3 linked regions of the Yarrowia lipolytica genome follow. The protein of the gene in region 3 purifies or fractionates together with the protein of the main gene of each other region. This does not show direct contact. Links are inferred from orthologs where the notes say so. Each region holds a gene or a part of one and is shown on either strand. Other genes may lie near its edges.

Region 1 (3,179 bases), on a different chromosome or scaffold from region 3:
AATCCCCGTCAGTACCGAGATCGCATTCTCTCTCTCTGAGGAGAACGTGACACACAAATCAACAGCAACTAGCATAACCAAAGAACTTGGATGCGCAATTGAACAACTGGAAACAAACAACTATACAGTAGTTGTTACTGCACCATCATTGTTCACTGCATCATCAGCATTACTAACCACCAGCAACCACACACCATACTTCTCTCGTCATGATCGTTGTTGACCCATATTATTGCCAGCACCATAACAGATTTTTTACCCGCGAGGAACTCGAAGAACACCAGAAGGCATGCAATGGACCATACTTCATGTCCAAGGAATTCCGGCGGCCTCCGGAGGTTGGAACGCCTTAACTAACAGATACATAGCTGCCCAGACTGTCGCCGACACATACTGCAGTACAGTACCTGTACTTGTAACATAGTGCACGTCATCAGTTTCTACTGCTGTTACCGTCTTAACATAAAAATATAATAGTTATAATCTACCAATTGCGATCTTGTAGGAAGCTCAATGCTCAGCACAAACCGCCAGTTTCTCAATGACCTCGTCCATTCATTTAGATGCGCTCATTGATCCCGCTATGCTCAATCAACAATACTGATTAAGCAGCGATCTCTCCCTGCTGGACCTCCAGCTCCTCAGTCACCTCAGCTTCTGGGTACTCGTCGGGGTAGACCAGAGCAGAGACGTCTCGAATGCCATCCTTGTCCACGACCTTGACGTAGACGCCCTTGAAATCCACGGGCAGACGGGTCTGCAGCTCCTTGATGCACATTCTCATGAGGACCACTCCCTCCTCCTGGGTCATACCCTCCTTCCAGTGTCGGTCCAGTAGCGACATTGTGTAATAAGCGGCGTAGCCGTGAGCGGCATAAGGCAACTCCACGTTGGAGGCTAGGTAATCGATGAGATTGAGGGTGGGCTTTTCAGTCTTGGGATCAAATCCGGCAATCAGGACGTTGACCTGATAGGGCTTTCGTGATCGCAGGGCCTTAGCCAGCTGGTTTCGAGTGAAGGAGGCGACGGCAGAAGGAGACAGCTCAATGTCGTGTCGGATGCCGTACAGTCGAGTGTTGGCCATGATGTACTCGGCAAACTGGACTGTGTCTCCTGCCTCTCCGGTGTAGGCCATCAGAGTGTTGGGGTTGAGTTCTCTGGTCTTGTCGTCACCGACCTTGATGACGGAAATACCTCGGGTGGCAGCCTTGGAAGTGGCAACCAGCACTCCGCCCTTGATTCGCAGTCCCAGAACGATATCCATCTTGTGATTGTGTAGTGTGGTGTTGGATGGGTCTCAGAGAGTCAGTAGTGATGCAGATACACAAGGTGGCAAGGTTAGGTGGCGTCACGTGCAGGTGGCGGTTATGAAGTGCTATTGGTACCAGTACTTAGTCCAATGGGATGGAATGACCGGGTCTGATCAATGATTAATGATAAGGGCAAAAGATTGATTGACGATAGTTGTTTGAGATGGAGACACTTGCTTGGAGTCGTGTGTCTTTGTTGTCGTTGGGTGTGCTGATTAGTAAGCTGATTTGAGTGGTACCAGGCTGATTGTAGGGGTTATGCTGAAGCGATTGCAATAACACATTTGAGGTGAAACTAGTCCACCTATTAGTTCATATCAATGATTTCTTGTCTGTCTATAATGACATCCAATGACAAGTTTAGCTAGCTGCTGTAATTAATTGAGGTGTTCTACTTTTCGGAGAACAAAATGTCTCCATTGTTCCCAATTACATTCATAACAAATTGGATAACTAAAGAATGGAGTTAGTTGAACATTATTTGGGGTTGAACAGTTGGTCAAATAGTGGAAAAGGAAATAAAAGGGCAGGTTTTCAATGCTTACAGGTATTTTGGTTTCATTTTCTGTCTTAATCATGTACGGTATGGCTATGTTCAAAGCCACAGGGCACTTTTGTTGCAAATCTCGATTCAAACAATATTTCGCGCAACTGACGTCAAAGGGGATATATAAACGAGAAACAAAAACGAGAAGCTACACGGGGAGTAAAGGGACGCGAAGATGGGGATTGAAAATTTCAGTGATCACTCGTCATATCTCTGTCGATGCCATCACTCACGTTATGCCGATGATACCGTATGTACAGTGGGTACTGTAGCTGGCGTCATGCGTCATGGATAGCTACCTCATTATTCCCTCCGTCATGTCCGAACAGTCGCTGTAAGAGACATTTGTGTGGCAGAGATCGATGTGATACCTTCAACACGAGCTCGAGGAGCTTGTAGGTTGTATAACGAGCTCCAGTGTCGAAGTTGCAATGTGAACAGGGCAAGGAGTTACATAGACCACTGTACAGAACCACACGATGCTATTAAAGAAAGTAGCATCTTTGGCAAGCTCACTCATAGAATTATACAACTATCTGTAACCATCTATTGTTTTTATTCATGCTTACACTATCAGAGGGAGAATAGTGCAACACTTGACACTGACAAACCATACAGACTCATGCAGAGTGAACATCTGCAAGGCTCTCTGAGAATATAGGATTGGATGAACCTCACAGATATAGACACAGTAGGGAAGAGAACAGTCAAGCATCTTACCGTACAAATAGGACTGGCAATTAACCAAACCTGCATCCCTCTCATTTAGTCTCAGTGGAACATTCACAGTATTGTTTTCATGCGATCACTCTCAGCCAGCATCCACTCGTCGCAGTCCCCTATGCCTAATAGAAGGAAATATCCTTGGAAAAGTCCATCTTTTACAGACAACGGTAGCTTTATAATAAATATAACCGTTTTAGTAAGTAGTATATGTATATATCAGCAATATCTTTTTGATCCTCAATGTACAGTATGATGGATATCTCCCCATGTCTTATTTGTCATTTATAATACCCCCCAACTCTAATCACGTCTTTCGCAACGCGTGGAGTTAAATTGATTCCCAACTTGGAGAGACGCGTTTAGCATCGTACTGCACCTTCATTTTTTTTGTCCTCTACAGTTGACATCTCAAATCGGCACACCTACCCCACGCAACATATACTACAGCTCAAATGACAGTATCCGAGCCCTCTTCGCCCGTATCGACCGCGGAGCCCCCAACTGACATCACTGTGCCACCTTCATCTTCTCCACGACTTCCACAGCAGGGGCTGTATGATGCTATCATGAACGATGTCATGGAACAAATTGAGGAG
Region 2 (3,684 bases), on a different chromosome or scaffold from region 3:
CCAGTCAAACGAGTGCAACTTTTCAGGACCACTAGTAGGAACAACGCAAACCAAAACTCGGGTGGCATACGCAGCTGTGCTCCAGGCTCTCAAGATCATCTCGTACAGAAGAGAGCACTATCTGTGGCAGATCAGAAGCACCAGTGCTGGAATTCCCAAAACAATTGCACAAGCCAGACAAGTCTGGAGAACTTCTCAGTGGCACAACAGTAAAATTGTCCCAGAAGAAGGGAAAGATGTGCTGGAAGCGATAATGACACTGTTGGACCGCTTCATAATCACGGTCGAAATCAATTGCCTGCTGGATTTTGGACCCGTAGAGAGACAGGCATCTAGTATCCATGCTGTAGAGAAGCTGGCTATGGATGGCGTCTACGAGCCTGTCTTCTACATGCCTGAAGGGAATTGACCATGTAAACTATATAAATATCTCAATATATATCTACTCATGGTTCTACAGATCATATCCTCACTAGTTATCATCATCTACAATTAAGATCTATGTTCATACATCTACCACCTTACTTCTCAGCACCACTCAGTCGAACAGCAGCACCGTACTTTTGCAGCTTGGTCAACAGAGCGTCTCCCTGCTTAATCAGAGCCTGGTACTGGGCGTTCTTGGAGTCGGGTCGGTTGCTCTCAATGATACCGTTGACCCGGTCAATCACACAGTTGAGCTTGTTCTGAGAAATAAACTTAGAGAGGTCGTTGTCCAGAAACTGGGACGACACTCCAAATGCATTGGCCATGCTCTTGAGAGACAGCGTTTTGTAAGACTCCAGAAGCTGTGCGTAGGCCTTTCGTCGCATCTCCCGCACGTAGAAGGCTCTGTGGGGTGCCAGGTACTTTGATGGTCGCAGAGACTGGGTCTCAAGCTGGGCCAGAGAGGTGAACAGCACAGAGTACTCAGCAGTGTACAGCGAGTTGGTGAGAGTGGCAATGGGACCAAGAGCAGGGGTGGTGGGCAGCAAAGACAGCACCTCGGGTGAGTCGATGATCTTTCGCTTCAGATCGACTCGATCCAGAGCCACAGCTCCAGCAATGATAGCATACTCCACAATCTCCTCGTAGGAGGCGATTTCAACAGAGGTGAAGGTAGACAAAGAGTCAATGAGACACGAGGAAGCCTCCTCGAACTTTCGGATTGACAGACAGTGCAGGCCCCAGTATGTCTTGTACTTGTTTCGTCGCTCCCAGTCTCCTCCTCGTTCGATAAGCACTTTAACGGCCTCCAGTTCTCGGCCCACAAAGGCGCAATCGAGGTAGAAGAAGCCCAGGCGCACAATGGTGAATAGGATGTCGATCTTGGCACCAGTAGAGGTGGTCTCTGCGGCCTTTCGCAGGGTCAGGATGGCGTTGAACCGGTCGCCAATCTCGGCGTAGTACTCTCCAAGCTTGACTCGGGCCTGCAGCAGCTCCAGTTCTCCGCCGTCGTCCTTCTCCACCTGGGCAATGGCTTCTCTCAGCTCGGCCACGCGTGCGTCATTGGCTGCCACCATCTTGTCGTACTTGGCTTTGGAGAAAGCAGGCACGGACTGAGCCAACGACTCGGACGGAGTGTTGGCAGGCACGATGATCTGTGTGATGGGCTGCGGCTTGCTATCCACAATCTTCTCCTCCACCTCCTCCACGGTCTTGCCATCGGCCACCTCGGCCTTGACCTCCTCCATATCAACGTCCTCGGAGGGGCTCTCTCCCTCGTGGCCAATCTGGCCCTGCTGGTCTTCGGGAACATCCACCACGACGCCTCCAGACGTTTCTGTGCTCTGGCTCTGGTCAAAGTTGTAAAGCGACTTGTAGACGCCAGCGAGGTTGCGATCAAAGATGGCCGTCATGAGGGCCTCCTTGGCCTCGGGATGAAGGTCCTTGAGCGACGGGTTTCGCAGCACAAACAGATGCTTGCTGAGCTCGTAGTCGGGGATGGCTTTTTTCTCTTCTGTCATTGCAATGTACCAGTGGTTGTAGTGTGTTGCGGGTTGAGAGGTTCGTGATACGTGCTGTGTGATGTGGTGGTTGATGTGGTGGTAAAGTTTGGGATCATTAGGTAATATGATGATGGTGGTGGGTGGCGTTGGGTGGCAACTAACGGAGGTGAATGGTGGTCATAATTGCAAGTAAAATCTGTTTGATAGACTCAATTGGCGGCATCAACTTCATTTTAAAGGAGGTTTTAAATTTATACAATTTTTATTCGAATTATTTTGAAAATTTCCCTCTCTGCTAAATCCATGGTTAAAGTGGTTCGTGCGATGGTGCGTGTGTTGATCTGGTAGTATTATTCAAGTGGGAGAAATAGGGCGCACTCAAACTTGTTCAACACTCTCAAGAAGATCAGAAGCAACACTGTACAAGGAAATGAAAAAGATGTCTTTGAAAAGAGACATACAGTCAGTAATATGAACAATTTCCCCTTATATACGCCCAATGACTAATCAATATGCTCCCTGAACTGACTTGTTTCCTGAATTGATTGAGGGCTGAGGTTAGCTACAGTATGTACGATCATTACCATAGTGCGAACAGCCCTGACGGCACAGTTGGCCCCATTATAACACCAGAAAAAGAGCAATTGCCCTGACACTCTCTCAGTTATCCCCACCTTTACATTCTCTTCAGTGGGGTAATAATAAGTATGTCAAACTTGATTTTGCGTGGTGCAATATGTAAGGGTGTAATGGTATGAGGGGTGGGTATGTAGACAAACTACTTGTAGAAGTACAATATGTACTGTACTTACATACTGGAAACTTGTATAGAAGGTGGGTCATTCCAATTGAGACGAAGACAACATATAGAAGACATTTGCACTATACACAGGCTTCTATCACACATATATCAGTCATTATACCGGTTATTATACTCTACGACTGTATAGCTGTTCAAGATAGGAGCATCCCATCCAGCCTCGTTCGAGACTCTTCTAGACTTCGAGACCTGCAACAAAAAAAGGTGTGGGGTGGGGGGATGACGGGTGGGGGGGGGGGAAGGACATCGGACCGTTCCATCATGGAATAATGTTAGCAGGGTGTAAAAATATCACAATTCCAGACCCTAAGAGTATCGTATCGTAATCGTGCCAGAGACTTACTGTAGTCTACCTCGGTTTTACCTTCTCTCCGTAGCTTGTACCTGCAGTGGAATCCACCTTAGTGAGGGTAGAGTGTAATGGAGGGGAGAGCATGGAGCAGAAACGGTTCGATGCTTCAAGTTCGAGTACAAGTGCACAGTGATGTTGCAACACAGTCACCACTGCCTGAGTCACTCTGGCTGCCTATCAGGATGTACTCTCACACATCTCACGTTCGGCTCACCTCTTCTTTGTCAAGGCATAAAGTTCTTAGACCATTGTGACTACGCAGTTTGCTCCGAAAAGATGCATGATCCCACCCACTTGCGCCTGGAACCGGTGGACGTGTGCTACCAGCAGGACGTGTATGGCACGCGATTTATTGTTGAGTACCAAAATAGTACTTGTAGAACGTATTCCAATTCACCTTTGGCTTCACCGTTGTTGTGACCCGAGCTACTGTACTTCCTGTACTTCCAATCTAGGCCTATTCGCCACTTATAGCAAGGCAATGGTATCAACGGTGCGTCGTAACTGCGGCAGTATGCGGAGAGCAGGCGTATCTATGACGTCGGTCGGCCCGTGGGCAGTGGGGAATCAGGTCATGTGTTTGT
Region 3 (3,635 bases):
TGTCCATGTTATGACGACAGATCTGTCTTCTCCCCGGCTCAAGAACCGCACACACTTCAACTCGTTCAGGACTGGCTTTTTTGTGCCATTCAGAACGATCCCGGATCTGAAAGTCCCAAGTCTTGACGCCTGGATGGTCTCACAGGAGAAACTCATCAAGGGGGACATTGTGGTGGATGGAGAGAACTTTGGGAACAAGTTTGCAAAGGCCAAGAGAAGACTGGATGAGGATTTCCACAAAGCCACGATTCACGGTATTCCAGAGGAGGTGGAGGATGATGATTATAGGGTGATGGAGATGATCTCTTAAGAGACAAGTGGCCATAGATAACGAAGGACATTCATATGGAAATTGATGACATTATAACGAAAGCATGCTCATGATACAAGTAGCAACCAGGTCGTTTTCTCTCAGTACGATCTCGATGGAGTGTAATAGTTGACAACGTAGCTGAACATGGCAACATCGTGATAAACTCATTATCAGTATACATCATATGCCACAGCTGAAACATAATAGTGCTTTGGCACTACAGGCAAACTACACTCTCACTTGCGATTAAATGCTTAACTAGTCTACTACAACTTCTCGTACTCGAGCTTACCCTCCAGCTTCTTGTTCTCGGACACCTTTCTGCAGGCCTTGAGCAGATCGTTCTGAACAATGTAGTCCCGATCGTCTCGGATGGCAAAGAAGCCAGCCTCGGTGACCACGTTTCGGATATCTGCTCCGTTGAAACCGTCGCTCATCTTGACCAGGGCCTCGTAATCGATTTCGCCCTGCTTCTGAACGCCAGCAGCGTGGATCTTAAACACCTCCAGACGGCCGGCCTCGTTGGGCAGTGGGATCTCGATCTTTCGGTCCAGACGGCCTGCTCGCAGCAGGGCGGGGTCCAGAGTATCGGGCCGGTTGGTGGCCATGATGACCTTGGTCTTTCCGAGATAGTCGAAACCATCCATCTGGTTCAGCAGCTCCATGAGCGTTCGCTGGATTTCTCGGTCGGAGGAGGTTCCCTCGGAAAATCGACGTCCTCCAATGGCGTCCACCTCGTCCATGAAGATGATACAGGGCTCGTGTTCCTTGGCGTATCCGAACATTTCTCGAATCAGACGGGCAGACTCTCCAATGTACTTGTCGACGATAGCTGAGGCGGGCGAGAAGATGAAGTTTGCGCCAATAGTGGCGGCCACGGCCTTGGCCAGCAGGGTCTTTCCTGTTCCGGGAGGGCCGTACAGAAGCACACCCTTGGGAGGCTTGATTCCGACTCGCAAAAACAGCTCGGGGTTCTTCAGAGGCAGCTCAATGACCTCTCTGAGTTCACGGATCTGCTCGTTGAGGCCACCGATACCGGAGAAGGTCAGCTCTCCAGGCTCAAACGTGGTCATGTTGTAGACAAGAGGATCGACCTCTCGGGGAAGAATTCGCATGATAGTCAGAGTGGTCATATCCAGAGACACACGCACACCCTGCAGCAGCTTCTCCTTCTTGATGCTGGACCGACAGCCCACAATGTATCGGGGGCCGTTGGAGGCTTTGACGATGAACCGCTCCTCATCCAGCTGCTTAAGAACCTCGCCAATCAGCTGGCCTACCGACTGTAGCGCCTTGATGTCGTCCTCGGTCTTGTCGAATTTGCGCTCGAGGTCTCTGATGCCCAGTCGCAAGTCCTTGAGCTTGACCTCGTACTCTCGATGCTCCTTGAGTTTTCTCTTGAACGACTCGATCGCCTTTTCCCGCTCGGGATCTGTGGGTGTGGCAGCCACCTCGGGCGCCTCCTGGTTGAGAGCTGCGAGCAGCGGGTCGTTTTCCATGTTGTGTGTGTTGTGGTGTGTTGTACTGATGTAGTAACTGGAGCGTTGAGGTTCTAATATGTGAAGTGGTGATGCACCTCCCAATATTAGTGTTTGGTAGAAGAGTGGCGTATGGTGGCGAGGTGAGTGAAGGTGAGAGTACAGTAATGACAAATATAGACAGAATATCGGGGAATAAATGATCATCAATCGCTTTTATATTCCTCACTTATTGCTCTCAATATCCCCATTACTCCACAACTACTCTAAAACCTCGTATTCTGACACCTTCCACAGGATTACGTGAGGTAACAGAGTCTGGATGGGTATGGGTGGACCCATTCGCTCTTGGTGGTTATGCAACCACAGATCTAGTAGAGGTACCCGTAGTTGATGTGCTGTAATATAGACACAATGACAAATCCATAAATAAAGTGAGAAACCCCATTGAGGAGAAAGAGGTGTACATCTAATTATTGATTACATAAGCGTATAAGTAACTTAACCAAATTGTCACATTACTTCACCCAACAGTTGAACTATCTTTCATTTTACTTCAGAATGACTTTGAATATAGGTCTATCCAACTCTACCAATATAGATCCCACATATAATCTGAAAAGTGCATTCTTCTTGTAATTTCTCAGACAATCTGCTTCCATCATTATCTTATCGATAGGATATCTCCACATCTTGTTACAGACACCGCCATCCCCGTCAAATAAACTCCGATGCAAGCTCCATGTGCAGTGAAATTTATTAGCATTGAAAAGAAGCACATAAAAGATCACATAAAGCACACACCACCACCACTCTGTGCTAAATCTCCTCTGCTACAATGGGAGCCGACTTCAAAGTGTTCATTCTGTGCGGCCAGGGCAAAAACATGGCACCTCTCTCGTCCGTGAGAGCGTCTGGAGTGCCCAAGGCCCTTCTTCCCATGGCCAACGTGCCTGTGATCGACTACACCCTCAAATGGTGTGAGACCATCCCCAACCCCAAGGTGTTTGTGTGCTGTTCTACAGCTGACGAGGCGGAGATTTCCGCCTACGTGGACTCTTTCAAGGCTGAGCACTCCACCTCAGTTGTGGCTTCCAACGTGACTATCTGTTCCAAGACCGATGCGAAGTCTGGAGACTTCATTCTGGAGCTGACTCGAGGGGAACCCTCTGATTTCATTGTGGTTTGCTGCGATTTTATCACAGACATTCCCGCCAGCTCGCTGGTCGACACCTACCGAAGCCGAGACTCGGACTCGCTTCTCACAGCCTTCTACTACCCCAATACCCTGGAGAACGTGGACAAGAAGTCATTGCTCAAGGACGTGACGGTGCACTCATCGCTGGACTCGCGAACCCCGCGGCTGCTGGACTCGTATTCGCGTGACTACATTGAGAACAAGAAGACCATGCCCATCCGCCGATCCATGCTGTGGCACTTCCCTAAGTCTTTGGTCTCCACACAGCTGCTCAATGCGTCCGTCTACTTCTGCACTGCCGACGTGTGTAGAGTCATCACCGAGACTCAGGCTGCCCCTGAGGAGGATTCCACAGACGAAGATCCCGACACCCGATCTTCGTCGCCTGTCAGACAAGAACAGGAGGAGGCACACACCATTCTGGCCAAAGGCCGACAGTGGGACCGAGTGGTTCGAGACATTGCCCGACGGTCGTGGGCACATGCGAAGCCGCTCAAGTCTGTGTCTCTGTGCGTTCTGGACTCCAATACCTTTGCACGAGCAAACAACCTGTCTGCATACATGGAAATGAACCGAGTGATTCTGAAGGCAAGAGCCAAGGCCAACGCCACTGCCCAGAAGCCCGCTCCAGCTGTTAAGGGAGCTG

The links.
Region 1: the proteins of YALI1_E25866g (region 3) and YALI1_B15092g purify together in Saccharomyces cerevisiae (affinity purification with mass spectrometry; 5 studies listed by BioGRID, with this or other methods). This does not show direct contact. The link is inferred for Yarrowia lipolytica from reciprocal best matches to the Saccharomyces cerevisiae genes RPT4 and PRE1.
Region 2: the proteins of YALI1_E25866g (region 3) and YALI1_B29108g purify together in Saccharomyces cerevisiae (affinity purification with mass spectrometry; 3 studies listed by BioGRID, with this or other methods). This does not show direct contact. The link is inferred for Yarrowia lipolytica from reciprocal best matches to the Saccharomyces cerevisiae genes RPT4 and RPN7.

What each region holds. Positions count from the first base shown.
Region 1 is NC_090771.1:1,507,939-1,511,117, forward strand, and holds YALI1_B15092g (uncharacterized protein), read right to left. Parts: upstream 1,265-3,179; coding exon 605-1,264; downstream 1-604. Other genes in the region: YALI1_B15109g (uncharacterized protein), read left to right, coding at 3,036-3,179. UniProt on the Saccharomyces cerevisiae protein: Non-catalytic component of the proteasome which degrades poly-ubiquitinated proteins in the cytoplasm and in the nucleus. It is essential for the regulated turnover of proteins and for the removal of misfolded proteins.
Region 2 is NC_090771.1:2,908,833-2,912,516, forward strand, and holds YALI1_B29108g (uncharacterized protein), read right to left. Parts: upstream 1,947-3,684; coding exon 522-1,946; downstream 1-521. Other genes in the region: YALI1_B29080g (uncharacterized protein), read left to right, coding at 1-409. UniProt on the Saccharomyces cerevisiae protein: Component of the 19S cap proteasome complex which acts as a regulatory subunit of the 26S proteasome, involved in the ATP-dependent degradation of ubiquitinated proteins.
Region 3 is NC_090774.1:2,584,949-2,588,583, reverse strand, and holds YALI1_E25866g (uncharacterized protein), read right to left. Parts: upstream 1,999-3,635; coding exon 580-1,998; downstream 1-579. Other genes in the region: YALI1_E25889g (uncharacterized protein), read left to right, coding at 1-310; YALI1_E25859g (uncharacterized protein), read left to right, coding at 2,630-3,635. UniProt on the Saccharomyces cerevisiae protein: The 26S proteasome is involved in the ATP-dependent degradation of ubiquitinated proteins. The regulatory (or ATPase) complex confers ATP dependency and substrate specificity to the 26S complex.